Nothobranchius furzeri: one gene and its partners. The protein of the gene in region 1 purifies or fractionates together with the protein of each later gene. This does not show direct contact. Links are inferred from orthologs where the notes say so. Each region holds a gene or a part of one and is shown in the gene's direction. Other genes may lie near its edges.

Evidence for each region. The genes of interacting proteins can lie anywhere in the genome.
Region 2: the proteins of dhx9 (region 1) and nxf1a purify together in Homo sapiens (co-immunoprecipitation; 4 studies listed by BioGRID and IntAct, with this or other methods). This does not show direct contact. The link is inferred for Nothobranchius furzeri from reciprocal best matches to the Homo sapiens genes DHX9 and NXF1.
Region 3: the proteins of dhx9 (region 1) and heterogeneous nuclear ribonucleoprotein D0 purify together in Homo sapiens (affinity purification with mass spectrometry; 3 studies listed by BioGRID and IntAct, with this or other methods). This does not show direct contact. The link is inferred for Nothobranchius furzeri from reciprocal best matches to the Homo sapiens genes DHX9 and HNRNPD.
Region 4: the proteins of dhx9 (region 1) and c1qbp purify together in Homo sapiens (affinity purification with mass spectrometry; 3 studies listed by BioGRID and IntAct, with this or other methods). This does not show direct contact. The link is inferred for Nothobranchius furzeri from reciprocal best matches to the Homo sapiens genes DHX9 and C1QBP.

What each region holds. Positions count from the first base shown.
Region 1 is NC_091751.1:34,764,389-34,771,746, reverse strand, and holds part of dhx9 (ATP-dependent RNA helicase A), read left to right. Parts: coding exon 1-52; intron 53-129; coding exon 130-281; intron 282-359; coding exon 360-508; intron 509-2,930; exon of another isoform or gene 2,931-3,024; intron 3,025-3,104; coding exon 3,105-3,151; intron 3,152-4,313; coding exon 4,314-4,450; intron 4,451-4,938; coding exon 4,939-5,028; intron 5,029-7,358. UniProt on the Homo sapiens protein: Multifunctional ATP-dependent nucleic acid helicase that unwinds DNA and RNA in a 3' to 5' direction and that plays important roles in many processes, such as DNA replication, transcriptional activation, post-transcriptional RNA regulation, mRNA translation and RNA-mediated gene silencing.
Region 2 is NC_091741.1:88,146,928-88,155,033, reverse strand, and holds the start of nxf1a (nuclear RNA export factor 1), read left to right. Parts: upstream 1-4,010; 5' UTR 4,011-4,129; intron 4,130-4,233; 5' UTR 4,234-4,242; coding exon 4,243-4,303; intron 4,304-5,344; exon of another isoform or gene 5,345-5,546; coding exon of another isoform or gene 5,547-5,574; intron 5,575-5,635; coding exon 5,636-5,698; intron 5,699-8,106.
Region 3 is NC_091746.1:62,891,371-62,899,476, reverse strand, and holds the start of heterogeneous nuclear ribonucleoprotein D0, read left to right. Parts: upstream 1-4,010; 5' UTR 4,011-4,231; coding exon 4,232-4,401; intron 4,402-8,106. Other genes in the region: enoph1 (enolase-phosphatase E1), read right to left, coding at 2,703-2,804, 2,944-3,035, 3,258-3,342. UniProt on the Homo sapiens protein: Binds with high affinity to RNA molecules that contain AU-rich elements (AREs) found within the 3'-UTR of many proto-oncogenes and cytokine mRNAs.
Region 4 is NC_091750.1:66,119,778-66,127,370, reverse strand, and holds c1qbp (complement component 1 Q subcomponent-binding protein, mitochondrial), read left to right. Parts: upstream 1-3,813; 5' UTR 3,814-3,967; coding exon 3,968-4,208; intron 4,209-4,464; coding exon 4,465-4,615; intron 4,616-4,686; coding exon 4,687-4,783; intron 4,784-4,885; coding exon 4,886-4,981; intron 4,982-5,070; coding exon 5,071-5,196; intron 5,197-5,267; coding exon 5,268-5,417; 3' UTR 5,418-5,797; downstream 5,798-7,593. Other genes in the region: ATP-dependent RNA helicase DHX33, read left to right, coding at 1-210; carbohydrate-responsive element-binding protein, read left to right, coding at 7,051-7,382.

The sequences.
Region 1 (7,358 bases):
CTTCCTCCCAGCGGCCCTCTGCCTCCTCATCTTGTTGTAAAACAGGAACAAGGTAAAACCGGATGTTGGACTGCTCCCTCAGACCTCCTGGTGAGTTCAAACTCAGCTCCTCTTCTGCCTGTTTTCCAGGTGAAGGAGGTGCCAGTGGGCCGGTGCCAAATGTTATGGGTCAGGGTTACTCAGGAGGGGGAAACTTTGGAAGAGAAGGAGGAGCTCAGTGGGAGCGAGGAGCCAACCTGATGGAGTACTATGCAAAGAAGGAGGAACAGGAGGCACAGGCGGTACGCGAATGCTGTCCTCATTTGTTCTGGATGTCAAACTAAACATCAGAGAATAAACGGCTGCCTTGTTGTTCCCAGACTCTGGAGTCGGAGGAGGTGGATCTGAATGCCAATCTCCACGGTAACTGGACCCTGGAGAACGCCAAAGCCCGTCTGAACCAGTTCTTCCAGAAGGAGAAAACCAGTGCTGAGTATAAGTACAGCCAAGTGGGACCGGACCACAACAGGTCTGGATCAGAACACACACACACACAGCTGGTCTCTGTCCTTTATTCTGTTTAACTCATTCACTGCCAATGATGACTAATGTCTTCGTTTGCATTTTTTACTGTGTGGGCGTCGGAACGAGCCCCCGCACCCTTGAGAACAAACATCTCAGCTCTAAAGCCGATCTTCATCCGCATACGTCACACGTCACATGACCAGGAAGCAGAAATCCACGTGTTAGGAGATCGTTTTGTGCCGCTGCTGTAAAAAAAGGTGAGGCGCGATTCATAGGGTTGGGCATCGTTTGATTTTGAACGATTCCGATTCCAATTCTTTGAAGACATGACATGTTTTACATGAGCCAGCTAACCGCAGGTCTAACTTGATGAAATAATCTTAACTTCAACATGAATTTTAATTCTATGAACAACAGCATCACCTTCATTTAGACAAAAACATGTTTTGGAGAAAAAAAGAAAGAGACTTGCAGCACAACCAGTGTGTTTGTTTCTGACCACAACCAAAGTCTGGAAGAAGCCTCTGGGATGAGAGGCTAAATGTCTCCAATATATCAGAAACGTCCAGCTGTTTTCAGCTAAAACTCTCAGGATGATCATGTCCAGGATGACTGAGAACTACACCTCCATGCTGCAGCAGCTTCAGTCAGAACAGAAAGTGAAACTTAAACGTAGCTGCTGTCAGTAACAATCTAACAGATTTTAAACATTAAAACTCTCAACAGAAATAGTTCAGCAAGGAAATTAAAATGTTCACACCTTTGTGTGTGATTTATTATTATTATTATTTATTGTGGCAGAAGCTGGTGTGTTCCACAACAGATAAGCTTCTCTAGCATGATGACTTTAATTTCTACAGGTTATTGTTCAGCCCTCTGACGCTCCGTGTGTTTTTATTTCTGCAGTGAGACAAACTCACCTCACACCGTCCAGAGTTTGTTTTTTAAAGCTTCTATTAAATCCACCGTGTTGACGTATTTAACAAGTTTCCTCTACGCTGCAGGAGTTAAAGTTTACATTACGGAGTAAAAGTCCGGCAGACACGTTTGTTCATATCTGGGGGGTCATGGACGTAATTTTGGGGGGGACAGGGGGGACATGTCCCCCCCCCCCCACTTTTTCCAAAGTCAGGTGTTGACCCCTGCACTTTTTACCATCCAAAAACAGTATTACGCTATATTAAAGGGACACTGGTTGAGCTCTAGGACCAAGCGGAAAACCAACCGTTTGTGTTGAAGCCTGTTTCCCATTAGAGCATACTGTAAAGATACCCCCCCCACGTCTAAAGTGAAAATTACGTCCATGTGGGGGGTGTCGACTCGGTGCTGCACACAGACAGCTGGTGTGATCAGCTTTGAAAAGCGTTGATCGCAATTTGCAGATCCCGTTAATTTTTCACGGAGATCGGCCGCGGATTCCTCTTCCGTCGGCATTCTAGGAATTGAAACTAGGAATCGAAATAAAAAACGTTGAGCGATTCTGGGAAAAATGAACAGCTGGAACCGGTTCCAATCTATGCTCGATGCCCAACCCTAGAACCAGAAAAGCTTCTGCCGATCACAATTCAACAACAGATTATGAAAGAACGGATAACACTCGAAACGCGCGGATTCATCCTGATGTAAGAGGTGAGTCTCTGCTTTGTTTTGGTTGTTTTGGCGTCGACATCGTCCTAGCGCGCAATGTTCTGTGACTTAAAAAAACTGTAAAAACGCTGGCAGTGAATGAGTTAAAATACGATTCAACAGTAAAATTCATGTGGACCAGTTTCAAATCCGGCTTTTTTCCCTGTTTCATGTTTTTATTTGGGGTCTTAGCGGTCTCAGGTTCACCAGGTGGACTCGGACTTGTGGCGGTTTTAGCTGCCCCCCGTTAAGGCTGGTGGCACCCGCTGGTTCTGGACTCCAGTCGGGTTTCAGGACGTTCCTGTGTGTTTTTCTGCTGGACTGCTGCAAACCCAGAGACCTCCAGAGTGTGTTGGTTACACCAGAGAGCTCTCACTGTTTGGTCCAGAACACCAGAGGAGGCAAACGGGTCGGAACACGAGTCAGGACACGCGTTGTCAAGATTTAACAGTTATTTAAATTTTGTGTTTAAAACTGATTAAGTTTCAGAAATTTTGTGACATTATTAGTGACACTTAAGCATGAAAAGAAGTTGGAAACTGTCTGGATGTCAGCCATCCTCAGACCGTGTCTACCACATGTCGGCATCAGGAACGGTAACTGAAAAACAATATCCAGCTGTTTGGGTTGTTTTCTGGTGACTCAGGTGGATTAGGACTCAGGACCGGTGTGGCTAGAATAGTGAGATGACACCAGAACTCAGAACCGCCCTGAAAAAGACATGGGACAGCGTTTAGGTGTTCTAAATCTGTCCCATGGGTGCAGCTGGAGTCTGGTTGTGATTTCTGGTGTCACCGTAGGGCTGCAGACAGCCAGGAGATGCTGCTGACTGGTGTCTAATATTCCCAAAGTCTGGCAGGAAAACACACAGGCTTCCTCCTGAGAATGCCGCAGGTGAGTTTGGTTTAGCACCACTGTTAGAGGCTTTTACTTTGAAAAGCACCGGAAGTGAAGCTGTGATGTTTGTGTTGCAGGAGCTTCATCGCGGAGATGCAGTTGTTTGTCAGGCAGCTCGGCAGAAGTAAGACACATTTGATAACGTAGAACCTGATCTCAGATCAGCGCACGTGATTGATACTTCAGCCGTTTCCATGGTTACGGAAGTAGAATTACAGCATCTCAGTTGTTTTAGCACCTTTTATCATCAAATACATTAAATTCAGGAGACGGCCCTGGTCCTGGATTATCTCTGGTCTGGTTTGAGATATTTACTTGCGTTGTTGATTCTCTATACGAGAACGCCACAATTCTGGTCCAGCATGTTTTAGTTGTTTCCCTGCTTCAAAACACCTACTTTACAATCAACAGGTGATTAACAGGCTTCTGCAGAGCCTGATGAGATGCTGAACAGTTGACTCAGCCACTCAAACGGGCATGTTGAAGAAGACAAACAACAACACATGATGGATACTAAGGCCCTGTCCACACGTAGCCGGGGATCTGCCAAAACGTAGATATTTTTCTACGTTTTGGCCTGTCATCCACACGAAAACTGAGTTTTTTCACACGAAAACGGATCTTTTTAAAAACTCCGGCCAAAGTGAAGATCTGCGTTTTCTCCGTTTTGGGTGTCTGCGTGTGGACGAACAAAACCGGAGTTTTAAGGTCCGCAACGTCACTTTCCGCGACAAAAAAATGCTGACATCACGTGTGCGACCTGTGTTTACACTAGCCGGCATTACGGAAGCCTTCAGAGCTGCGCTCTGTCACTACCCGATCCATCAATTGTCCAAGCGCTTTCTGCTTGTTTGTTTTTGCAAGCAGAATTACTGCTCCTTGCGGAAGACCACAGACGAAGGACGAGGTTAAGAACGGAGGAAATACTGCCGCCTACAGGTCTGGCATGTCCTTAACAACGTATTTATCCGGGTACGTGTGGACAGAGTCTGTTTTTAAAACGCGGTGGTGTGGATGCAAGTTTTTGGAGGGGCGGATATTCGTTTTTAAAAAAACCCGGCTACGTGTGGACTAGGCCTAAGCCTCCAGGACTGAGAACTCCTGCTCTAAACTTTCAGAACCAGTCTGTAGGAATCCTGACACCTAGTGGTTACCATGGAAACATGCCCTAGTCTTTAGCGGCTAGTTTTAGCCCAGCGTAATCCAGAGAAAACCACTAAGGAATTTTTGTTCAGGACAGAAATGGACATCTGGTCCATGTTCTGATGCGTGTGTGTGTCCTTCAGAGATCACAGCTCGAGAACATGGCTCCAACAAGAAGCTTGCAGCTCAGTCATGTGCTCTGTCCGTGGTCCGACAGCTGTTCCACCTGGGAGTTGTTGAGGCCTATGCCGGGGTCACCAAGAAGAAGGAGGGAGAAACTGTACGACACACACACACACACACCTCTGTTTAGATGTAATTAAAGCTTGAAATCATGGATGGTTAGGGGCATGTTCTTTTGATTGACAGGTAGCAGATGAGCTAACAGCTAGCTTCCTGTTTGCTCCAGGGAAGGCCTCAGAGTCGCTCAACATGGTTTTCTGGCTAAAAACACCCCAACCTCTGTTAGATTTGGTTAGCTCAGTTAGCTCATTGCTACATTTGCTCAGTTTGATGGGTGTCATTCATCTGCACCCACCCTCAGCTCCATTTTTGTATTTTTCCGGGAGTGACGAGATGCAGCCAAGGTGGCGTTGGTAAGAACCGCCCACTGGGCTTTAGATCAGCTCCTCAGAAACGTACGGGTGAAGGCACGGAGGGTTTTCTATTATATCTGTACAGTCTGTGTTTCTGACATGCCTGAAATAAGCCAGAATCTAGAAGGTCTGAGGAATTCTGTGAGTTTAGCTGCGTGTGTTTTGTCTCCAGCTGGCCGTGTATGAGGTCAATGTGTCTCCGGAGCTCCAGCAGCAGCTGGCCGCTGTCGTCCAGGACCTTGAAGTCCAGATTCCTGCTCCGGTGAGTCTTTGATCCAAGTCTGCTCTTTTCTCCCATCCAGCCTAAGGTCATGTCCGACTGCAGTGATTCCCAACTGGGGGTATGCATACCCCTAGTGGTCCATCAGCGCATTACAGGGGGAATGTGGAAACCTATATTTCATTACACAGATGATGACCATTCCTGTGCCCTGGTAAAAAAAAAAAAAAAAAGTGCTGGGATGTGTTATGCCTAATTAACACTCAAAGTAATGCACAGTGATATATAGTTCACATTGGGACTGATTCGAATCATCGAATGGTTCAATTCATTAAATTTGTTTTTCACTGATTTGAAGCGTCGTTAAATGTACGCACCGCAGTCTGAACACATTTTACTGACACACAATGTGGTGATCTAGGTGCTGTGGAGGTACATTGTTACTCATATTAAATGTTATCATTTCCAGCAGCTCACTGCTGAACATGCTAAATAATAATTCTTCTGATCGTATGTGAACATATTTAGATGTTTGGAGTAAGATGAGTGATATCAAGCCTGTATTAAACTTAATTATAGTGATATATAAATCAAATGCTCCATAAAATATTTATTAACTGTAACTATCAGCTGAGAAAGAGGGAACTAGACGACACCAATTTAATACAAATGGTTGATCCTTTTACAATTTTGTTGTTTTATTTTCATAATTTTATCAGCAGGCCATAATCTCGTGTTTGTGGACTAGAGGCTGCTGCAGCACTAAGGAGAACATCCTCTGTAAATGATTCTGGTGACAGTTGAGCCGTTTCTGCGTTAACACCTTGTTAATGCTAATTCCTTAAATGCTGTTTGTTTTTTTTAACACACGATAAACTTTCAAACTCTCGTACATCTCCTGTGATTTGGTTTAAACCTCCCACTGTCCTAATGGGTGTGACCCCACGAGGAAAGTTGACCATTGAGCAGGGTTGATGGTTTATCCCTTGGCTCCATGTAGCAGGGGTGAGGAGTGAGCACCACCTCACCCCTGCCACGTGGACCTCAATGGATAAACCATCAATCCTGCTCAATGGTCAACTTTCCTCGCGGGGTCTCCCATAAAGACAGTGGGAGGTTTAAACAAGTTTTTATCCGTAGCTGTTTCTCATTACTAACGCTGGAGTTTGTGCCCTTCTGTCTCTGTCGGGTCTGTGAGAATGTAAAACAGCCTTTCAGACATAAACTTGTAAACAGAAGAAAATAAAACATCGTGATGCGGATCTTACACCATATGGCCCATTCCTACCACCCAAATAAATAATAACCCCTGTAATGTGATGAAGGAGCTATTCCACCGCAGGTTATTTACCCTCTCTCCTCGGTAAGAACTAATCTGCATGAGACTGCCTCAAGGACATGCATTTGCTTCTAAAACTGTTTCCTTTCCAGCTCAACAGAAGAAAGAAGATAAACTCTTTCTTTTTAATAAATCAAAGAACTCTATTTTTAATAAAGCTAATCAAACAAAGTGTTAGTCCAATAATAAAATGTGAACCAATCTGTGAAATGACAATGTTTAGGATCAGTGGTATTTTAATATTAATAAGTAATAAGACTTTAATCTAGCTGCACTAGACATCCTGATCCACATAATGCTTAAAGTCACATGACATTTTATCTTTCTCATCCAATCGGATCCTTCCTTTCTGAAGCGTGGCATGCTCTTTGTGGTGTTTATAAATCCGTCAAACTCTGATTCGACCGTAAATCAAAACATCCAGATTAATAAAACCAGTCCCCACGCCATCTTAGTTCAGTTCACCACATTCTAAGAGAAGTATCGGACCGGCCACCCGGACTTCCTTTATAAGCAAAGAATCGACAAGCTGGATAAATTCTGTTGCACTTTACAAACCAGGCAACGGTTCCTTCCAGAATAAAAGCTGAACTCACTGACCCTCAGGGTCCATCTGACGCTGTCAACCAACTATCGCTTTTTACCTGGAGACAATCCAAAGACTAGTCTGTCGTATCGCTGACGCTGTTTCATCGGCTCCGGTACCGGGGGGTCCGAGAACCTGGCATTCTGGATCTGTACGGAGGTCTCATCCTGAAGGGTATGTGTGGAGCGACAATATGGCGTCTTATGTGTTTATGAAACAACGATGGCTTAAGAGCAAAACATCACTTCCCACTCAGACTTGCTTCTCCGGATACGAGAGTTCTGATGACAACATCACTCACACATACACCATCCATCTCACGTCTCATTCACACCAAGATCCATTCATCACTTAGAGTTTAGAGTTAGTCTTGTTTAAAATTCTTTAAAATTGTGTAGAAATAAATCTTCTTAAACTTTTTAAAGGTGACTCTCTCTTCTCTTGTCT
Region 2 (8,106 bases), on another chromosome or scaffold:
GTAGTGTTGTGGCGTGGAGGTAAGCTTTGGTAGACCCCACTACCATCTCTGGATCACCCCAAGAGGTAAGGAGACGGGCTTCATCAATGGGTCAACTCTCTATCTTAATGGTTTATTTGTGCTTAATCTGCTCACCTGTAAACCACATGAAATCCAGGGTTTTAGTTATTTAGAAAACACCTGGGTAGTTAGCAGAGACTCACTGTTACCATCACAGTAAAAAGAAAAAACAAGGGGGTGACTAGAATAGTTGAATTTTGTTTATTAAGTAAAATATGTTAAGAAAGAAAGTCGTGTTGTGTTTGAATGTATGTGTTGACATTCTTTCTTGATTTCTTTTTTTTTTTTATAGGGAGGGTGTTATGAAACCCAGTAAATTGAGAGCCTTGCTTTCTTGCTCAGCTCTCTCTTCACCACGACAGGTCGGTTTAGCGTCCGCATCACTGCAGATGCTGCTCCAATCCACCTGTCGATCTACCGCGCCCTCCTTCCCTCATTCGTGAACAAGACCTCGAGATACTTAAACTCCTCCACTTGGTGGACGACCTCTCTCCTGACCCGGAGTTGGCAAAGTACCCTTTTCCGGTCATTAATTAAGTCTGTGGAGGAATTTCCCCATTTTTTCAACAGCTGTGGGGGAAATCTACTGAGTTTTCCGGTGTCAGGAGTTAAATTTGAAACGTGATCGTGTTTTTATTATTATTTATTGCTTCCATTCTGCTTCACCAGCTACTCTTTGAATTTTACTGCTGCCGGTTGTTTTGGATGTCTGCTAATGTCATTTCCTACTGTGTTACAACCAATCAGAGTGAGTTAACCGGAGGTTCCACTCAGCTACTCTACCGGGCGTTCAGAGTACCTACTCCAGAACAGGTACTCAGAAGATTCCTGAAAGCATCCCGAAAAACGGCCGTTCGGACGGCCCAGTCAGGTGGAGGCACACGCATGTCGGGAGGTTCCTGTAAATCTACCCTGAAGTTCTTGTAGTGGAAACATGCCTAATGTGTATTTTCCCTGGTAATATGGGGCGGTACATACCTAAATCATTGCAAACAATTGGTATTGTACTGTTCGAGTAAGACCTTACCAATGGATGGCCATTGGGGTAAAAAAAAATCCCTGGGAGTGCAACCTCCAGCAAAACGACATGAACATCAGACTCCCTTTCATCACCGGCAACGAGTGAAGAGGTAAATGTGTAAAACAACGTTTATGAATGGCAAAACATTTGTAACCATTTGTTTCATATCAGTAAATGCAGTTTGTCCTCATGGGCTCCCGTATAAGAAAACATAGCATCTAATATGGCGTCACCCAGAGACTTAGACCCACTCCCGTTTATTTTAGTCCCAATTTGTATGGATATATTTTAATATTTTTCAACAACTGGGCATCATTTAATTCATTCTCAACAACATTTCAATGGCTGTAGGTTAATGGAAGAACTACACATTGTCACTCATTTGCTGCTGTGGCCCCCAGACTCTGGAACTCTCTCCCCCTGAGCCTGAGATCAGTGGACTCAGTGGTCTCCTTCAAAAAGCATCTGAAGACTCACTTGTTCAAGCTGGCTTTTGTATGACCTTCTTCACCCCTCTCTCTTTATTCTGCTCTCCCCACCTATTCCACCTTCCTCAGGATCCACTGATTTTTCCCTCTTTCCTATTCACTCTCTCTCTCTTTCTTAACATTTTTTCTTTTAAATCCCAATTGCCTATTTTTGCTCATTTTAAATATATTTTTAAACATTTTCTAAATGCTTTTTTATATTTTAACATTTTTTTTTTGTTTTTGTGAAGCACCTCGTGATTTTTATCTTGAGAGGCGCTATAGAAATGATATTTTCTTCTTCTTCTTCTTCTTCTTCTTCTTCTTCTTCTTCTTCTTCTTCTTCTTCTTCTTCTCTCCAGACAACAGGGGGAACTCAGAGCTAGTCTGTTGTTCTCCCAGGCACAATAGCAGCTGCTTGTATACTCTTTTAAAGCCCCTTTTAGTCTCTCTGGTTTTGAAGTTTGGAGCCCAGATCCAGTCTGTTGATGGTTTAGAATTTAGATTTGGCCTGTTGTGCTCTTTTGTTTTTTGTTTGGCTTTAGCTAAGAGTAACCTTTAGTTATGTCCAGAGGACTTATTGTTTTGAGCTGTTTTGAGTAGTTGGTCCTTTAGATAGTTAACTGAGTTTTGAGCCGCTGCTCTATTTAGTTACTGCGGCTTCCTCCCACAGTCCAAAAACATGACTGTTAGGTTGATTGGTCTGTCTAAATTGTCCTTAGGCGTGAGTGTGTGTGTGCATGATTGTTTGTCCTGTGTTTCTCTGACTTGCCCTGCGATGGACCAGCACTTTGTCCAGGGTGTACCCCGCCATATTGCCCATTGACCGCTGGAGATAGGCACCAGAACCCCCATACCCCCCCACCCCACCCCACCCCCCCGCGACCCTACATGGACAAGCGGGTACAGACAATGGATGGATGGATGGATGGATGGATGTTCTATTTAGTGTTTGAAATATTAGTTTTGAATAGCTTTCCCTCCCTTATTATTAGTAAGGAGGTGCCCTGTGTTTAAAGTTTTCAATTAACCATCATAGTTCCTTTTTTATGGGACTCTTTTATTTAAAATATGAGTCATTGGTTGGTTCCCTTTCACCTTTTAATCCCGTGTTATTCCCTCCTGGACCTGCTAGACCAGATAGGGGTGTAACATAACCAAATGTGTTTCTAAAATCTTAAACTTCTGTCACAGATGTCTGCTGGACAACGAGTGGGATTTAAACAGAGCTGAACAGATATTCAGTTGAAGGTAATGCAAAATCAAATTTTCCTATTGCGATTTTCTTTACACAGATGAATATGGTTCTGATGGTTTTTTCCATTATTGATCTGCAGAATTTTATTTGAAAAAACATTTCAGGAAGTTGTCACACAAACTCTGAGAAGGTACAACAGCGCCAACATTAACAGGATTAATTAAACAGTTTAAAACATTAAAAAGGACCTGAGGTCTGTGGCTGTTTGTTGCCACAAGCTGAGACATCAACTGGGATTTAGCTAGTTTTACAGAATTATTAAAAGTTATTAAGCATCTGCAGAGACACATGCAAGCCCATTCTTACACATAGCATCCTACTGGCTAGATATGATCAATGACCAAGAATCCACCTGAGGGAAAACATTTTATATCATCAATCTGATATGCCAAATGCCATTGGGCTTATTCATAAATGTTGATATATGCTAAACAATGACGTTATCTGAAAATTTGGTCAAACAACATAAAGAAGAAAAAGGGATTTTCGGGTGTTTGTCGCCTCCTGGCGGTTGATCTCTTTTACCTAATCAACATAAATGCTAAACAATAGCTGACATGTAGGGGTCAGTTTGTGTCAAGTATTAGTAGGTTTCTAAAGAAGAAGGTAGCTAGGGCTTTGGGGGCATGGAGAATTCAGACATCATGCCACAGACTCAATACTTCAATTATCATCTTATCTGCATAAAATTTCGTGAGTGTCCGTATACTACTCACAGCCACGGTTGTGACACTAGGCCGGAGTGACACCAAGCGAGGGCTAGAAGACGCTGGTTGCAGCTTTAATTTTTTCTTTCTTCCTTTTCTAAGTGTATGTGCTGCTGTAGCAAGTGAATTTCCCCACAGTGGGATTAATGAGGTCTATTCTATTCTATTCTATTCTATTCTAAACACATTTATCAGACAAGAATAAAAATATTTTTTATGTTTTTTTAAACATTGTATTATTTGTTGGAAAATGAAGCAAGAAGCAAACAATACGTTAAAAAAAATGTAAATCTCGGATGATCTTGACATTACACCTGCTGGTCTCTGTCGATCCCAGCAGGTGGCGTCACGTCATTAACTGCGTGCATAGGAGGAAAAGTGTGGGACAAACACAACCTAACATCTTAGAGGGAAGAAAATTCACGTTTTAGTTAAAATATTATGAAACTGGGGGAAATTATTTTGAGCGTCAATATAACCGACATATATCGATGGTTGTCAGACTGTGCTTCTGAGTGTAGCTCGAAAACCGCCATGCTAACGTAAATAGCTTGCTAACGCTAACATCTAGTGGGTTCCGTTCAAAAGACTAAAAACCGATAAACCCGTTTAAAGTGTAAGTTGTAATTGTCTCGCGCTGCGCACATTTGAGTTGATTCTTTGTTTTTAGTAACAACGTATTTCAAACAACAGTGTAAGATTTATCTGATTTTCTACTAGATTGGCCACATGATTCCGATTTGGAAAAGCTACTCCAACTTAGCCGTGGTGACACGTGTGCTAAATGATGGTAAGTGAAATAAATATTTGTCCCAGCTTTGTTTAGTCTTTACGATGTCAACATTATTTTCATTTATTCTTATGTATTGTTACGATTGAGTCGTTCTAAACTTAGACGTGACTAACGGTTTGATTCCTCCCCGCTGGAGCACATGTTTCTCATTTCCATGGTCACATGTTAATTTCAATGCATCTGATAGATAATCAGATGATGTATTGTTACCATTAAAGACTAGATTATATGGTCACAATTTAAAATTCCAATGACCTTGATAAAGTTGCTCATAAAATTTGTATAAAATTCATGTTTTGCATGAAAAATAAGGAAATAAAAGTATGTGTATGAGGAATATGGTTTTCTTTTAGTTACCGATATGGCTCGCACTAGGGCTTACAAACAGTAACAAACACAGAAGCCGGTGAAATCTCAAAAACTTAGTTGGATATGAAATACTCAGCAGCAATTGAACTTTACTTTTCTAAATTCAGACTCACTTTGGTCTGTTCTGCATCATAATTTCTCATGAAAGGTTTAAGATTGTTTGCTGAGACATAAACAATGTTAATAATTTATATTTCTGCATTATAAAGGCATCTGTTACTTGACGTTTATTGGTTATTGTAACTGCAGCTTGTAATGTATTGCTCTTGTATTTATATTTATTGACTCAGTATATCATCTACTGAAAATTAAATTACTGTTGCAGCATCATCATTTTCGTGTTAACAGATATCTTAAAATATTTTTAAAATGAAAGTTTTTTTTTTTTTAGTTTTTAGTTGACTGAAGGTTAGGCACTAACATTTTGTTCTATTGAATACTTCTGTTCACTAGCTGTGGAAAGGGAGCCGATTTGAGTCCAGAAAAAAATACCTAGTAAGTGCAACTAATAGTATCGGCATAAGCTACAGCTAACGAGTTTTCAAATGTATTCGTATAAATATGTGTTACGACCGACTGGCTTTTCTCTTGCGCGAGTTATATATTTGAATTCCAGGGGAAATTATGCCCCGGAAACGGAAGTTGAGCAAACGTATATTTCCGCTATGACCTCAACTTGTTAGCAGAAGGTGTTCGCTAAGCTAAGTTACTAGCGAGTTCGAAGTTCACTTCGTTCAGCTTCTACGCTATTTTTTTTAACAGGATTTAGTGTTTGAGCTGTTTTTAGTGTCACTGTTCTGTGTTTTGTGAAAGAAAGGTCAAAGCCCGCGGGGTATTTTCACTCCGTAATTCCCCCCTTCAGTAACGCAACATGGCGGACGGCGGTCATTACTACAACGGTAAGAAACATGTCTGTAGCATTAACCTTTTATCTGTGCTGTTGTCACCGCTTTTCTTCAGACTATGGAGATTTTGTTGTGAAGAGAGAGGTCTCAAGCACAGGTCTCACGGTGCAAGAAGCAGGTAACGTGAGATCTGCTCACAGATGTTTGATCAGTCCCGTTTTAGATATAGATTGTTTAGTTAGTACTTGTGTGGTGGTTTCTGGTAACTGTTAGTTACCAGTTAATGGTCCGATTATTCAAAACATGTAATACTCCTAAGAGAACGATCAAACGAAGATATGAGGTCTTTTAAAATAAACAGGCTAAAAATGAGCTTTAACATTTTTAATACAATCTTTTACATTTTTATTTCCTTTTATTCACTGCTCCATAGTCATGGAACAGGTTACAGGAAAACTGGAAATTAACCAAACTTATCTCCTTGAATACATTTCAAACCAAATTGAGAACACTTGAGATTAGGGCTGCACGACATTAGGAAAACCTGCGATATTCGATAACAGTGCTTAATATTGCAATATCGATATTACTCACGATAAATGAACAAATACTAAAGTAGGGCTGCTCGATTATGGCAAAAATAATAATCACGATTATGGTGACTGAAATTGAGATCACGATTATTTAGGACGATTTTTCAATTTATGTTGATTTTATTTGTTTTTATTCAGTCATAAAATTGCTCAGGGCACAATCAGGACAAAAATAAGAAACAAGATGATCACTAAAAGAACTCCTGATTCCCTGTATAAAAGACCAATATACTTATAGCTCATAGTCTATGACCCAAGGGCTGTAGACCTTGGTTTAACTCATTTAAGTCTAACCAGTACAGAACCAAATACCAATATCTTGCAAATACTGACAGCAAGAATTATACAGTGGCATTTATAACAAATAAATGCAAATAAATTGATGTTCACAAAATGTTGCATAACATTTATTGAGTTGTGTCAAGGTGCTGTAGGAGAGTGCACTAGCACGGTGTCCTCAGAGAGATTAGTTATTATTTATCACCAGCGTGAGGAACTTATTTCTACCTTATTTACAAACTATTTATTTACAAGTCCATCAGTTAATGTAATAATTGTCCCAACCACAGCTGCACCCCCCAACCCGGTCTCACAGCAATCAGGGGCACGCTGCACGTGTGTTTAGTGCGCCGCACGCGCACATTTAGCTGTTTTTAGCGGCTCAGGAGTCCGCAGGTGCGGTGTGTGTGTCACTCACTCTGGTTACTCCAACAGGGAGCAGAGCGGCTCCGAGAGCTGTCTTTAGCGACCGACACATCACTACATCATTCCCTTTCCTAATGTCCTGAAGAACGGTCCGGAGTGCAGGCGGAGTGTTTAGCTAACCTGCAGGAAACGTCGACCACAGTTATCCAGAAAGTAGCTAAGGGTTACCAGAGATGTTTCTGAGATGTTCGCCAGGTACTTTTGGGATTAAAAAGTCAAGAAGGGGGTCTGAAAAGCTGCTAGAAATAGCGTCAAAGTCGCCAAGTTGGCAACACTGTGGAGGAGCGCTTCATTTGCAACTCAGGGCAGCGCAAGCGGGAGGAGCAAATAATCGGCTTGTTTTGTTTTTTATAATCGTTCAAAACTCAGATCGTAATCGTGATTAAAATTCGATTAATTGAGCAGCCCTATACTAAAGTATGCATTGTTGATGTTGTCTGGGGTGTGACGTCTGCTCTGGGTTCAAAGCAAACAAAAACTAATGCATGAATTCCATTACAACATATTTCTATTGCAAAAATATGCAGCTCCACCTGCTACTGTAGTAGCAGCAAAACAACAAACTGCATGCATGCAGTTTCTCAGTGACTTTAAAACATCACCACCACCATAAAAAATTTTCTGATGCTCCAAATACAGAAAAACATCCCTAACCAGGGTTTTTGAATAAATAAATAAAAATCAGAAAATTACTTTAAGTGTCAAATAATAGTTAACATCACTTAAATGCAACAGCAAATTCTCTCATTGCTACTGAACATTTTCTCCACTTATGTGGTTATGATATAAGGCTGTTGCTGCAATTGGGAAGTGATCTGTGCTGGGCCAAACTAGGAGAATATTAAGATTTTCTGAGGGAAAGAGAAAAACAATTGTCTACCTTTCAGAAGAGGAACTGGCAAAAAAACTACATGGAAAATATGTGAAAATGTTTGGTTTTAACCCCAAATTGAACAAGTTTACCTAGATCTTAAAAAGCAGCTCAGATGATGAAACTGCAACTATTATTCTGATAACAAGCTAACAAATTGAACTAGCTCCTCTTAAGATAACCGGCTAGCAGAGCTTCTGACTGACAGTTTATGTGCAGCAGCAAATCAACTATCCTGATTAACAAGGTTATGAAAGCTCATCAAGGAAAAATCACTTTGATGTGTGGGGGAACTTTTCCAGGCCCTCTTTAGCAGGGTGGGACTGGGAGGAGAGTGCTGTAGCCTTTTAGCTGGAAGCTAACCGGAGCCTGGGGCTAACGGTGGGTTGGTTCACCGGCACGTGTCGGAGTCAGCCC
Region 3 (8,106 bases), on another chromosome or scaffold:
GAGACTGACTCTCAACTGACGTTCAGTCATAGGCAGCGAAGCATCTCTGTGCAGCGCAAAAGCCCGGGTGGACAGTTTGTTTAATGTAGGGTGATCATATTTCCATTTCCAAACAAGAGGACAGGGGATCTGTGCCTATGACGTCACACTATGGCAACGCCAAACAAACTATGTTGGGACCCATTTTTTGTAAGAACTAAATTAATATCAGATTCTGCCAATAAAAGGGCTCTAAAACAATTCCTATGTAAATATTTTGCATATTTAATGCAAAATCTAATTTTTCTGCTTTAGTGCTGCAACAAGGTTTTATTAATAATAAATTATTATACCTTTTGTTTTACTACAGCATCGGTAAGCTTCCTGTGCACAGATTATTAAGGATGCTTGTTTCAGCTGTGAGATTAGACGATAGGATCAATGAAAAAATAAGTTGTCACACACTCCATGGAAACTTTCAGAGAATCCACAAATGGTGGCTTTCACATGGTTTTGTTACTTTTAAAAAGTTTAGAAAAGCAGCAGATGAGACAGCATGTCTGATCATTTAGTTTTTCATCTGATAATATTAGAACATGTCAGTAATGTCTGAGGGGCTTTTATAAACACTGTATAACTAACACTACTGGAGAGGGTATGAATTACACAGAGGCTTCTGGGGAGCCCAGTTATGGGGGGGGGGGGGGGGGGGGCATTTTGCTTTGGCCCCCAAAATGTCTTGAAACGGCCCTGGGTGTGTGACTGAGTTTTGAAGGTGATCTGAATTGTATCAGATGTATAAATATAACATGTGTATGTATAACTTATTGTTTTTTACAGGTAAAAACGTGTAGTGGAGATAAATCTGCCTACTTTTTACTTTTCAACACTTTGTTTTGTTTTCTTGTTTTTATTTAACTATTTTCCTGTCCTGTCTGTCTCTCATCTTCCTGCATCTCCTCTTAATTCTCCAGAAAATCTGTTGCCTGGATTCTTACCTTTTCACCTCATCAGTTACTTTTGAGCAGATCAAAGGGATCTCCTGACCACACAGCGGAGAGCGCGTTTTCGATGCTGCGTGAGGTGAAATCACCACAGCACAGGTGATGAGCTCCGCAGTAGCGCGCTTCAGGCACAAATAAGACAAAATAGAGAACATGTGCGGACATGAACGATCGTGTGCTAATTATAGTTTTTTGGTTGAACCACTTTGAGAATGGACCGTGCGCTGGAAGCAGCTGCCTGGATCGCTGCACAACAATGCGGAACCGGTTCGCAGCAGCGCAAGTCTGCCGGCTCTCCCTCGCGCTGATCTGCCGGTACCGGCTCTCCCTCGCGCTGATCTGTGGGCTCTCCCTCGCGCTGATCTGCGGCTCTCCCTCGCGCTGATCGGCTCTCCCTCGCGCTGATCTGACTTGCTCTGGTCTGCGCGCAACGGCGGGCGGGAAGGGGGGGCGCTTTTGGAAGAGTTGTGCGACACAACGAATCGATGACGCAATTCGTTGCCAACGCTTTTAGTAATCGATTTTCATCGAATTTATCGATTCGTTGTTGCAGCCCTAGTCCCTAGACAGCTACTGTATTTTAAGATGGTGGATGACCATGGAGCGTCGACCATAGTTTATGTATTTAAAAACGTATAATTTCAGGTTGAGAGGAATATTTAGAATTGATGTTGGTGAGAAATATTAGTGAAAAAGGACAAGTTTGTCAACTGTAAGCACAGGATTTGATAGTAAACTGGTAAAAACATCACACTGTGGCTTTAATCATACCTTTTTTTGTATATTAAGTTTATTTAGACAAAAAAAGTAAAAAAAAAAACAACTGCATTTGTTGTTATTTGAGTGAATTTGGTAGACTTTTATTTTTATTTAATAACTTAAACATTTATTGCTAAATCAAAATGCATTAGTTGTTTTTTAAACTAAAATGTGTTTTCTTCTTTTTTTTCTATTATCATTAAATGCTTATTACAATTTCTCATGAGACAACAACACATAATAGAAACATACAAGGCATCTTTAGTAACAATAAAAGAAAAACAAATAAGAAACTTAAAAAGAGGCACTTATATCACAAAGTAAAAACATTGTTACAAGATTAAACATTTTTCTGCAGCATGACAAATGGCTTTTGCAGTTGCATTTGAATTTTTTATACGAGTCAAAGTGGATAAGAACATATGGAATTCATTTGTGAAACAGTTCATGTTTGGCAGTTGTTTTTTCCATTTGCTTTTGTGGATGTGGTATTTACCCATAATAATAATAATACTGTTAATTAACAATGAATTATTCCCCTTTAATTTAGAATTGTAAATAAGAATATCTTCATTTGTAAAATGATCAAGTTCTCTTATTTTATTTCTTAACCAACAATGGACTTCTTCCCAAAACCTCTTACTTATATGACAGCTGAAAAATAAGTGTTCTATTTCTTCAGGGCTTCCCTGACAGAATTCACAAGGGTCAACTTCAAAACCAAATCTCTTCCTCAGTGTCTCTGCTGATGGATAGTAGTTGTTGAGAATTTTAAATTGCATTTCTTTTACTTTGGGCTTTATAGGCCATTTTATAAATTGTAATTGTTTTTCTTCAATTATTGGATTTCCTTGTATTTTTATTTTAATCTTTCTATCATAATCATGATAGATATATTTTTTAAGGCTCCATTTAAATATTTATTTTCACTTTAATTTCACTTTAAGGCTTTAATCATACCTGTTTCTTTAGCAAATGCACATCTTGTTTGCACTCGTCTTCCTCCCAGTGAGTGGACAGGTGATCCTCCAGATGCTCCCTGATGTAAGGAAACAAAATATCCTGGAAAAGTGACAAAGCCCGGAGTGTATTAGTTTTCAGTTGTTAGAAACAGGCAGTTTTTAGCCGTATGCAACTGTTAGCTCTTTACTTAGCATTACGGTTGGACCCACCTAATACAATAAAAACAAATGTAACTCACCTTAACGAATGTAATTGGTGTAGTGGTTCCCTCGATGTCCAACAAGATTGTTGTAGTGCGAGCAGGAATAGAAACAGTGGCCATTTCTGTAACTAGAATAAAACACAAGGATGGTGGAGGTTCTTATCTTAGCTAACGATAGCTTAGCTTAAATAGTGTGGTGTTACAGCGAGGCTCTGTTCCCACGTGCGTGTCCAGGTCGAATACCGCAAAACCGAGATTATAAATGAGCAGGAAATGGCTTTAGTTGATCTCTGCTACGTGATTATTCAAGCCATTACTTTAGCGAACACACAATGCAACAACTAACTCACATGTTCCGGTCTGACAATTCACCTCCAACTCACTAGGTGACGATACTGAGTATTTTAATAGCAAGGACTCATCATTTAAAAACATATTTTGAACAGTTTACAATTAATAATATTTTGTTTTGCATGTCAGAAAATAATTAGAATTCATTGTTACGTGTGTGCTATTTCTTTGAGGGTGTTAGCTGACTAGATAAATATTCTACGTAAAACACACACACCGTATATTTTCCATTCAATTTTTAATTTTCTCTTTACGTTCACTTGAAATTATAATCTGCCGTTCAAAGAACGTTTATTTTAACCGTGTTTAATGTTTACACTTAGATGTTGTATAGGTTACCCCGTCTGAAACTGTTCGCTGCTGTCAGCATCAGCATGGTCGTCATAGGTGTTCCTCGGCAAATATATTTGTGCGACTGCGAAGACAAAAATGTTAGGTGAAGAAAATATATAACTTAAATTATGTACTTTTTGATGAGGCGAGTCGGATGTGCGATAAAGCTGTGTGAATCTCTTTACATCTGAACCGAACACAAGGGGGCAGGGCAAAGCCAGTGGGAGAAACAGTTTTCAACGGGGTCACACATTTCGACGTAACACCGGCACGTTTGGGTGACGCTGTTCCCGGTTTGGTTTCCTAATTCATCCGTTTTTAAAACAGAGAAGAAGAATCCGGTGACGGTGATAAAAAACGACACAAAACGACGCTCTTATTATTAAAATAACATTTGGAAGATAGTTAATTATCAGTTTAAACGCTTTAAATTTCTGTTAATCAAAACCTTAGATGTTTCCGTGAAGAAGCTACACGGTTTGCGTTTGCTTCGTTTTTTTATCTGATGGTATTTGATAATAAATATTAGCTAGCCACTAGCTATCTGTAGCGCAACTTCTATTTTTTTGTGAATTTGTATTTTCTCAAAAATTCCCGGTGCCGCTTTAGTTAAAAATTAGGTGCCTGAAAAAACCAAAATATGTCGAAGGATTATGAATTCAGCGAAGGCTCGAGCCTGATGAGAATGGAGGAGGATGGAGATGCTAACAACGACGACCCGATGTCCGCTAGTGGGGACTGTGGCCTGACGATGGGAGGCGAGGCCGAAGGGTCGAGGATTGACGCCAGTAAAAACGAGGAGGACGAAGGGTATGTTACTGTTCCAGCTTCATAACGCGGTCATTTATTATTTCACTCTCAGTCAAAGCTTTTGGACTTATATGAAGGATATACAACATGGATGCTACATCTGCATAAGTACATATAGAGACAAATTCAGCAAGGAAATCGGTAAGACTTAATACATTTACACAATTATAAAGATGTTTATGTTGAGTAGTCAAAGTGAGAATAACGGGACACATTTCTTTAGCATGTTGTTGACTCTGCTGTCTCACTCCGTTTAGATATAACCATAATCAGTTGGAATGCAAGAAAATCAATGCTGTGATATTTCATGTCACTGAATCAATATTTCTCGATGTTTGTAATTCACAATTTAAATGTTAACATTTACTGTAATTATTTTGTTTGATGCAATTCAAACTCTGACTGCTAGGTAGCAGCAGTTTTACTGCCTTCATTCTGATGGAACGACAAGATCTCGAGAAAACGCTGGATGTGTCTTGAAAGCGTCTGGAGTGATTTAAAATTAAATTCAGTCTTTAAAATAGCTAATCATGTGGCTTTTAGTATTGCATTATATCGTATCATCTCCCCTTTATTGTGATATTTGTCATATTGTCAGATTCTTGCCCTAATAACATGGTTATTTGGAGGAGGGCTTAAGGAGAGACACTGCACAGTCTCCCCTTAAGACCTCAAGTTACTTTGGTGTTAGGGCTGGGGGTAAACGATTAGTTTTAAAATGATTATTCTGACGATTATTTTATCGAATAGTTGACTTTTCTAATGGCGATTAATCTAATTATTATTTGTCTATTGCACAATTAATAAAAACCAGAAAATCTCAAATAAATTCTTCAAAAAAAGTGATCAACTGGTACTGTAAGAGAATAGAAGAAGAAGAAAATATCATTTCTATAGTGCCTCTCAAGATAAAAATCACGAGGCTCTTCACAAAAACAAAAAAAAATGTAAAAATATAAAAAAGCATTTAGAAAATGTTTTAAAATACAGGGTTTCCCTTACATAGGCGTAGCCGTGGCGGCCCGCCATGCGCTGTTTCCCGAAGAAGCAGCGGGAACTACTATGTTGTCGCTTGTGATCACAGCCGGCGGGCAGCAAGAAGAAAGGAGCAGGCAGAGCAAGGTGACGTTACAGCATAAGTTACTGAGTTTAAAATTAGAAAGGTAGCAATGGATATAATGCATTTTGGTTTACATGTTTCAATAGCAGTAAGATAAACAAGTGTTAACGATCTTGACAGGGTTTCCTCCAGTGCTTATTAGGCAAGATTTTCCTCCCTCCACCAGGCTAAGCATCACTTATTCATGTAAAATTTATTTATTTTTTCATGTCTGACTTTAACCGCATCTAATACTGTATTACGGCGTGAGCGCAACAGCGACAACTTAAGATCGATGTGTGAGCAGCCTGAGAGGTCGGGTGTTTTCATCTGAACCCTTAAAACCTCCAGCAGGCTACGCTGCACTATTGACGTGTTAGCGCGCTAACAACTTAGCAATGTGACATGTCTCGGAGAAAGCGTAAAAACACGTTGGACGCTTCTTCTGAAGCGGGAAAATAACGCTTCTTCTTAAGCAGAGCATGACGTTGCCTCGGCTCTTCACGGCCGAGCCGGTACCGGACTGGGCTCGGTAACTGACCCAGCACAGCCACTGGGTCGTTGGAGCTGCCCCGTGACTGCCTGATGGAAAACCAGCGGGTTTCATCAGACTCGTAAAGTTTCTTGTTTTAGCTGGGGACCCCCTGTATTTTACCGCTCCCTCCTGCAGTCTTCCCCTTTTAACATTTAAAACGATTCTGTAAATTCATGTATCAATAGAAACAATCTCTGCCTCTGCCAGCTGCAGTAAATGTAGTTTCCAAATAATAAATAAGAGGTGCGTTCATCTGTGTATCTCCTTTGATCCGCATTAGTGATATCCTCAGCACCAGAATAGTGATGTGTCGGTCGCGAACGAACCGGCTCTAAGAGCCGGCTCTTTGAAGTGAACGACGGGAGCCGGCTCGTCATTGGGAGCCGTCCCTCCCCCCTCCCCCCCTGCCTTGGTGAAAGCTACAGGCGATTGGTCAACATGTGTAACTGTGTGTCCAGACTGTCCACACACAGAGCAGTAGGGGCGGGGAAGAGGGAGGATCAGACTCAGACAGACACACAGCAGAGCACATGCGGGTGGAGGGAGACGAGAGGGAATGAGGAGGAGGAAAAAGGCGAGCGAGAGAGAGGAGAAAATGAGCGCCAGCAGTAGGGAAGTGGAGATTTCTTAAAGTGTTCAGTTATTAAATCAATAGAAATTATAAATATTTGATATATTGCTTTTTTACATTAGTAAATTATTTTACATATAGTTTAGTATTATTTTGGTTATACATGTATTCTACGCAACAGAAAATCTGAGGAGCCACTTGGGAGCCAAAAGAACCGGCTCTCTAAAAAGAGCCGTATTTCCCATCACTACACCAGAACAGTGAAGCAAAGAAAGATTCCTGAGTTTGTTAGTAATTTTATTTATTAGGTGCAACTGACCTGTTCTATTGTTCTCTGAAATGAGATCAAATCAGTGCTACTATGGGTTGTCTCCAATCTGCACTGGAAAATTTACTTTATTTAGAGAAGTGTCATAATTTCTCCCCAAGCCTCTATTGATACACGGAATTTACAGAATCATTTTAAATGTTAATAGGGGAAGACTGCAGGAGGGAGCGGTAAAAAGAGCCGCAATTTTCTGTTGCGTGGAGTACATAGTGAATAAACACTACAGGCCTTCCATTTTGTACAACACTGTACAACACTGCTTTTACTGGTTATGTTCTGGTGACATGTAAAACATGGAACTGCAGGCTGCTGCCTGAGAGGTGGTTGGAGACGGAGTGTCTCCATGCTGCTTTATTTTGGTCACTTATGTGCGTGAGGCGAGTGGTGTTACGACCCTTCCTGGGGAATTGGGCTCGTGTGCAAAAAGGAAGGGACAATAACACGGGATTTATAAGTTTAAATGATGATCAGGTTTATTTACAACAACAAACATAAATCTTTCCATCCACAGGTTGGGAATAATAAAACTAATTCTGCCTGTGGGGAATTAAAACAAAAGTACAAATAACTAGGAATGTCACACTGGGCAAAGATTACTGAGTTCTGGACCAAAATAAGAATCTCCAAACTCTAAACTGGGTGGTTAAACCAAACTCAAGGTAGGGCTGGGCGATATGGCAAAAGTAGAATATCACGATTTTTTCAATATTTTATCACGATTTCGATTTTATCACGATTTTTTATCCATGAATAGCATGACTTCAATTGCGTATTAAAGAAGAGAAACATTGAATAAATAAACATTTATTCATATTAGGGATAATCAACACAGTGCTAACACACTTATATTTTAAACTCACACCAGAGATGATAAAAGCCCTGAGAGAAACAATTACAAAAATCAGTTTTTCTCGTTTTTCAAGTAACTTAACATAAATTAAAATCGTAAACATATTTAAAGTGCAAACGTGTCCATTGCAAATGTATTGTGCAAACATTAACTTTTTCAAAATACTATGTAGCTCCCAGTTGCTCATGTAGTGGATAGTTAAGCTCAAATACGGCTCTGATGTGTGGCTGGACCAGAGATCGCTTGTGGTAGCAAAAAACTGCGAATTCTGAATATTTTCTGCAACTCTCACTTTGCATTCAGCGTACATGCATGGATCCAA
Region 4 (7,593 bases), on another chromosome or scaffold:
GGCAGCTACTTGGCTCTGAACACCCACCAGCCTGTTGCCATCCACCCCTCCTCTGTCCTTTTCCAGTCTAAACCAGCATATGTGGTCTTCAACGAGCTGCTGCACACCTCCCGCTGCTACATGAGGGACCTTTGTCTGGTCGACGCAGACTGGCTGCTGGATGCAGCGCCGGAATACTTTGGCCGCAAGCTGCACATCGCTAAGAGCTAACAGGATTCCCTAAGCGTTCGGAGCCGAACGTTTTCTGTGTTGAAAACTTTGCCGGACTCTTCTACCTCCCAGATGACGTGGATCTGGCACGTGTCGCTATTGTTCTGCAAATCTGCACAGCAGGGTCCCACAACGTTGGCTTCCTCTTAACTTTTCTAGGCTCTTTTCTTTTGCCTGACAGGAATTAATCTAATTACATAGCTATGTGGAAAAAAACTCATTTAAAATAGATGTGCATGTAGTTTAATAACATTCAAAACTTCACTGGAGCGCAGCAGAAGAGTTGAGTCAGAATTAGCCTGAAAATCCTTGTTGTTAAACATTTATACCAGGTAGTTCTGTTTCTTCTGCAGACTGTAGATTCATTAAAATAAAAGGAAAATACCAAAATAAGTTAGTTTTTAGTATTTCGCATGCCACTAAGGTGTGATTTTATTATAAAAGCTGACTACAACACTTGCTATGTTAGCTTGTGCATGCAGTTGATTGTTTAGTTCTAAGTAGAGTGCATGTTAGGAGGAAGGATGTCTCATGTCTCCTGCTGAACTAATATTTAACTAAACTCTCCACCCAGACATTGACGCTGGCAGCTAATGTATATAGTGCATGATTACAGTGTATGATCTGATCACTTGGTACTCTCTAGAACAGTGGTTCCCAAACTTATTTAGCCGCGCACCCCCTTCTATTTCCCGACCATGTCGACGCACCCCCCAGCCCCACATCAGGGCATGGATATACATATATATATATATATATGTATATATATATATATATATGTGTGTGTGTGTGTGTGTGTGTGTGTACCCATGCCCAGGTAGCACATAAAAAATGCAATTTAACGGTTTTCTTAAGGCAGGAACGTTTAACCTGTGGCAAGAGCGCTCTTCTTCCTTCTGCTCTGCGTAAACCTGAACTGGTCACCTACTTGTGCGTAATCAAATGTCTATAGGGGAAAAGATGGAAAAGCTATAGCCATGAGGTTCACTTTTGCCTCAGACCGACTTATTGCTGTTTTATGGTGTGGCTGAATCTGCGATCCGCTGCCACGCGGACTGGAATAACAAATGCTGCAGTAACATGAGTTGTAGTCAGGTTCATGAGGAGTTGCTGGCTGGAGCGGACTCGAATTTCATACGTCATCCCAAAATAGAAGCTAATATCTTAATTTGACCTCAAATGAAAAATGTTATTATAAAACCTTTTAAAAGTTTTTATCACGGAGGAGGCAGCGCTCATTTCTGCCTTCAGTCTGACGGCACAGCCAGGGCCGGAGTTTGTGCAGCGTTCGCTTGTTCAATCAGTGTGTGTGTGTGTGTGTGTGTGTGTGTGTGCGGCACAGCTCCATGAGCCGCTCCAGTCACCGCGTCTCGTTATTGGCGCTATTTAAACCAATGTTGTAAAATGACTTCTGCCCAGCCCAGATGTGCTCACTTGTGCACCTGTGAGCCGTGGTTCCGCTGGAACGCGTCTGACCTCTGACAGACGCACTCCGAACTTCAGATCTTCAGCGTGCTGTTAATAGCCTGACACGTTTAGAATGCTGTCCCACAGTCAGTGTGCTAATATAATAATATAATAATGCTAAAATGCTCAGATGGGAATCATTTCGTGATTTATTCAGTTACATCCACAATGTTCTGTGTGTGAGGTTTACAATGTCAGAACACCTGCATGAGACAGGGTGTAAATTACAGTCTGCCAGAATGACTCACCACCTTCAGATTTCTCCAACACCGATAAAAATGATCAAATACGAAACATATCTTGCTATTAACAGCGTGTGCAGGCCAGAGCGCTGAAGCTCGGAGCGCATTATTATGAAGCTAGGTCACATGCGGAGGACACACACACACAAAATATACTTGTTTTCAGTTGCATTTATTGGGCCCACTTACTTTTTCTTAGGCCCACCCACAAATGAGTTTCTGGCTACGCTAATGGTGACATATGACAGACTTCTCTGAGCTCCGCAGCCATTACACTTTTCACCTCGCACACCCCCTAGCGGCAGCTCGCGCACCACACCACACTTAGGGAATCCCTGCTCTAGAAGGTCACATCATGTTGATGAAGGGATCCTCTTTTCTTTTTTACTCTGCACTCAGGATTGTACAACATATACTCTAATTTCAACATGTTGTCACATAAATAGTTTATATCTTTGAAGAGGCACCACGTGCGTTTCAGTTTCCTGCTTAGAACCAAAAATGTTTGCATTTATAATTGATGGAATCTCTCTGAGATCCACTTGCATTTTACTTGTTTGTAAGTCAAATGAAAACCTACTTTACCTACCTGCATGTAGTTTGTAGAATAAAGGCAAACATTAAATGAGCTTAATTAGAGTAGAACAGGTTTTCATATAAACTATTATAATTTCTAATAAAAGTATTCCAACTGTTGAAGTAAACCAGTTAATGAAAGAAATGTTTCAACAAGGTGATTATCATTTTTGTTTGTTTACGACGTGTTTCTATAATGCCTGAAAGCTTTGTTTCCAGATAGAAACTTTAAAGTTTTGTCACAGACTCGTGACATAAAGTCCACCCTCTTACATTTTTAGATTTTAATGCATCATAACAAAGCTGAAAAGGCCAGATATTTACCAGGTATTAAAAGCAAAACGAAAAGTTTTGTGTGGAAAAGGAAGTATCAGCCAGCTGGTAATCAAACCTGAGTTTACTGGTATGGAGAATACAGGCGTGTGTAAACACAGTGTCTCAGTACAGGGGTCAAGAGGTCGCTAACAGCTTAGTTCCAATTTGAACACAACCTCTAAATTGAGGTCAGCCCAATTGCCATCAACAGCAGCTCAGATATTAATTGTTCACAACACCTCCACAGACCTCCGCTTGAAAAAAGGTGAACTGTCCCTTTAAAGAAGATGGTTATCGTAGTTCCATTGTCCATACAAACATCTTTATAAAGTTCTTTGCACAAAATTCTTCTGACATGAAGTGATTTCAGCTTTTTTATTTCGACAGTGAGTTGTTTCAAGCCTCACTTTAAGAAAACATCCATCCTACTCAGGCTAATATAACCTGAGGTGCCCTCATATTCAGGGGGGTTTCAGGTAGAGTTGCTGCTGCTCCATGGGGGTTTCAGGTAGAGTTGCTGCTGCTCCATTGGTAGTACATCTCCCTTGCACCTGGGAGTCAGCGCAACCTCCCCGCTCTCACAGTCAGCGAACGGGGAGAAACAGCCTTGCAGCTGCCCTGGGCAAGGCTGAAGTTCACAGGCGTCACTCTGACCACCCCCAGCAGGTAATGTGACACGGACACAACATGACCGACACCAGCTGAGCGGGGTTTGAACCTGTAACCTTCCAATTATGAGGCAGACACTTAAGTCCTCTTCCACCTTGCCCCAATTCCCTGTTTGTGTCATCACAAACTGGGACTTTTTTTAGGCTTGTTAAACCAAAATGCATATGTCCATTTAAAATCTTCCGCTTGGGCACAAAGGGCAGTATTCAAATAAGGAATTGATGATTAGTTAATATATTTTAGATGTGTTTTTTTTTATCATTTGTACATTATGTGCTTCATTTGACTGATGTAATATGTCACCATCGCTTTAAAAAACATTGCTTCCGGTTCAGAGGTCGCAGTGACGCGAGGTCGCTGTGTCCTTCCCCACGTGCTTCCTGTATCTTCCAGAAGAAGCAGCCGTAACCTGCGTGGCTAAGGGGGCTTTCAGGGGCGTTAGATTAAATTATTTTGTTCTCACACAGCGTTTTAATAAGCACACCGCTATGCTGAAGTCGTTTGTCCGCGTAGCGGGAGCCGCTGCTCGCTTGTCCTCAGTCTCGCGGGCCTTACCAATCAACTGCCCGACTCTGTGCGCTCCCAGCTCGGCTACAATTCGGCCGTTCACCCGCTCCCTGTGGATGCTGAATAATAACGGAGCGTCATCAGGCTACAGACCCAAACTGTTCAGCTCAAAGGTGTTGGGTCCTTCTGTGTCGTGTGGATGTGAAGGACTGCACACAGAAGGTAAGGTCACGTTTTAAAGTAACGTCTTAATCAGCTAGCTTGTTAGCCTCAAGCTAGGAGATTTACAACGTAATTAAACATGAAGTTCTAGGTTTTAAATACACATGTAAACACTCAAGTACACACACTTGTCTTACTTAAGCGAGTTAAGTGAACTTTATACGCAGCATTTCATATTTAGTCTTTCTGAAAGGAGTTTTAAAGGTGTTGATGCTAATTCAGACAGATCTATCATTTTTGCCCTCACTTTATTCAGGCGATAAAGCATTTGGTGACTTCCTGTCTGATGAGATCAAAGAAGAGAAGGTAATCCAGAAAAACAAAAGTCTACCTAAAATGACTGGAGGATGGGAGGTGGGGATGAATGGAACAGAGGTGAAACTCACAAAGCATGCTTCTGGAGACAAGTAAGGATGCTACGATTTGTTCTGAGAGGAAGTGGTGCTCAGTGTGGGCTCACGGTGTGGTCTGATTTCAGAATCACCGTCACGTTCAATGTCAACAACAGCATTCCTCCTAACTTTGAGGAGGAGGCAGTGGAGCAGGGGCAGTCACAGAAATCGGCAGAGGAGGAAGTAAGCCCATCATCAATCTATGACCTGATTGGTCGTGGAAAGAAAAAATGATTTTAACACTTTATAATTCTATAATTGTATCATTTTTGTCCTTCTTTGTAGCCAGAGATTGTGTCAACACCCAACTTTGTTGTTGAAGTGACAAAACAAGCTGCTAAACATTCCCTTGTGTTTGACTGTCATTTTCCTGAAGATGAGGTAAAACAAACATACACAAGCACATGCTAAATAGTGAGGAGCCGGTTCTGTCTCAGTTAAATGAAACCTGCTGGATTTGTGTGTTGTAGGTAAGTAATGCCGAGGGGGAGGAGGAGAGCGACATCTTTGCAATCCGGGAGGTCAGTTTCCAACCAGAGGGGGATGTGGACTGGAAGGAGACCAGTTACACACTCAACACAGACTCCCTGGACTGGGTAAGAGCTGAGACTGGTTCAGAAAGTTAATGAGGCTGCAGGACGCTACTCTCATAGTCCGTTTATTCCAGGCGCTTTATGACCACCTGATGGATTTCTTGGCTGACCGCGGGGTTGACAACACCTTCGCCGATGAGCTGATGGAGCTGAGCACCGCCATTGAGCATCAAGAGTACATCAAGTTCCTGGAGGATCTCCAGGGCTTTGTGAAATGTAATTAATGTCAAATGTAATAGTTTCTACCTAATAAAGATGGAGGCTGTAGGGTAAAGTGCTCAGTGACTGATTAGATGGTCGCCAGCAGCTGCCACACTACTCTTAGTCAGTAAAGGTTTAAGTTTTTCTGTAAAGTGTGGCTGTAACTTGAGAGAGAACCTACTGCCAGTTACAGAAGTCTGGGTTTTACTGCCTGGCTCATCCGTAAAAGTCAGGATTTCTGAAAACGCCAACTAACCTGTTTTTCTTTCCGTTTTTAATTGTTTATTTATGACGGATCTGAGCAACTGAGTTTTTGCTGACTGATGCGGTTTTGTCGAATGAGTGAGGTGATGTTTGTTGGAGAGATGGAAAGTTTGTCCAATAAAACCGTTTGATACCAGAATTCAAATGTAATTTTTCTGTGGCCACCGGTACCATTTAGAGTTACAGTTACCTTTTAGCACAGGGGTGTCCAATCCACTATCCAGCATGTTTTCCTGCTTCAACACAACTGATTCAACAGCTGATAGCAGGTTCTGCAGATGCCTGTTAATCAGCTATTGACTAATCTGAGGTGTGTAGATGCACAGAAACCTCTCAAACAAGGAACATTATTGGAAGCCACTGTTCTAGCAAAACACAGCTGCTAGCAGAGGTATATTCATGGATCCAGTCGCACCACCCGGAGGTGTGAGTGGGGTCGGGAGTGTTTCACAAGCTATTTTTTTTGCAGGAACTTTTCTGCAGCTGTTTCGGTTTTCTTCTGGCCTCTTATCTGTTGCATCTCTAGGCAGGTAGCTGCGGGACATTTGTCAGTTTCCTGAGTGTCGGGTTTGGACAGTTGGACCTTTCTGGTAATCTTGACAGCTGAAGGAATCCTGTTTCTCTTTGTTTTTAGCCTTATGGTCCTGCTCAAGTGGCTTCAGAATTAATCTTCACCCCTGTTCAAGCATTCATATATGCACAATAGTTTTATGAATTTAGGAGAGAATTGATTGCAGCTGTAATCAGCTCTGGGTAGTGACTGAAAGAATGATCGCATATACAAGTGGACAAAATGAGTTTTCTTCTCAGGGTGTCTGAGCTCTCCCTTACAGATAGCTCTTGGTTTTATATCCATCTGCAAACTATCTAAAAGTTGTGTTTTTGTGAATTAATTTGGGTTTTATGCTCTTCATTACTTACATACTCTAATTATGTCTGAACTTTAATTGTGCTTGTACACTTTTCCTTATCCTAATTTTTTAATTCTTATGATTTTAATGCATGTGACTTTTTTATGACTAAAAGAGAAGAAAGACAGTTTAACCTGACCCACCTCGCTTTAACCCGGTGCTCAGCCACCTTAACAAAACACCTGGATAAGCCCCTGGCAGTTCCTCCCAGGTTAGTGTCTCTAGACATTTTTAATGACTTATTTGTGTTGACAGCAAATTAAATTAAATGAAAACGCTTTTCATCTCTGGAGCCTGTGTACACATTAAGTTTTATATATTTCCCAGGTATCAAAGTCGTATTTTTGGTTTATTAATAATTAATCATGAGTGTTTTCCTTCTGGGGCTGTATTCTCCGACACTAGTATCAGCCTGAGGGGGGAGGAAGGGGGAGTCAGCTGAGGGGAAAGTTCAGAAACCCTCCGCAGAGACTCGAGCTCCATGGCGAGCGGAGGCAGCGTCCGGACCCGGCTGCAGGACTCCTCGGAGTCGGACTCGGAGCTGGAAGGGGGTCTGGCACAGCCGGCGGGCGTCGCCGGACCCTCGGCCGGTTCCTTCCCCGGGTCCCAGGTCATCCACAGCGGACACTTCATGGTGTCGTCACCGCACAGCGACTCTGCGGCGCGCAGGCGGAGAAAGAGCGGCGCTTCGCTCCGGTATGACTTCGACACAGTGAACCGAACCTGGTGTCAGACGTACCGGTACCACTCCGGGAGCCTGAGCATCGACCCCACTCTGACCCGCTTGTTTGAGTGCATGTCCCTGGCTTACAGGTGGGTTCGCTGCCGCGTCTTTTATTCTCTAACCTCCAGAATTTGGTGGGGTTTTTTTTGGTAGTAAAAATCGTTTTAAAGAGCCTCAAACAGCTTCTAGCGGAGTGAATATGTGCACACGTGTTATTTTCCCTTTGAAGCAGCTGATAAGTGAGTTTGCAGTTGTGTTTGTTGTCAGTCTCTTGCACAACAGCCTGAAAAGTCCTCACCA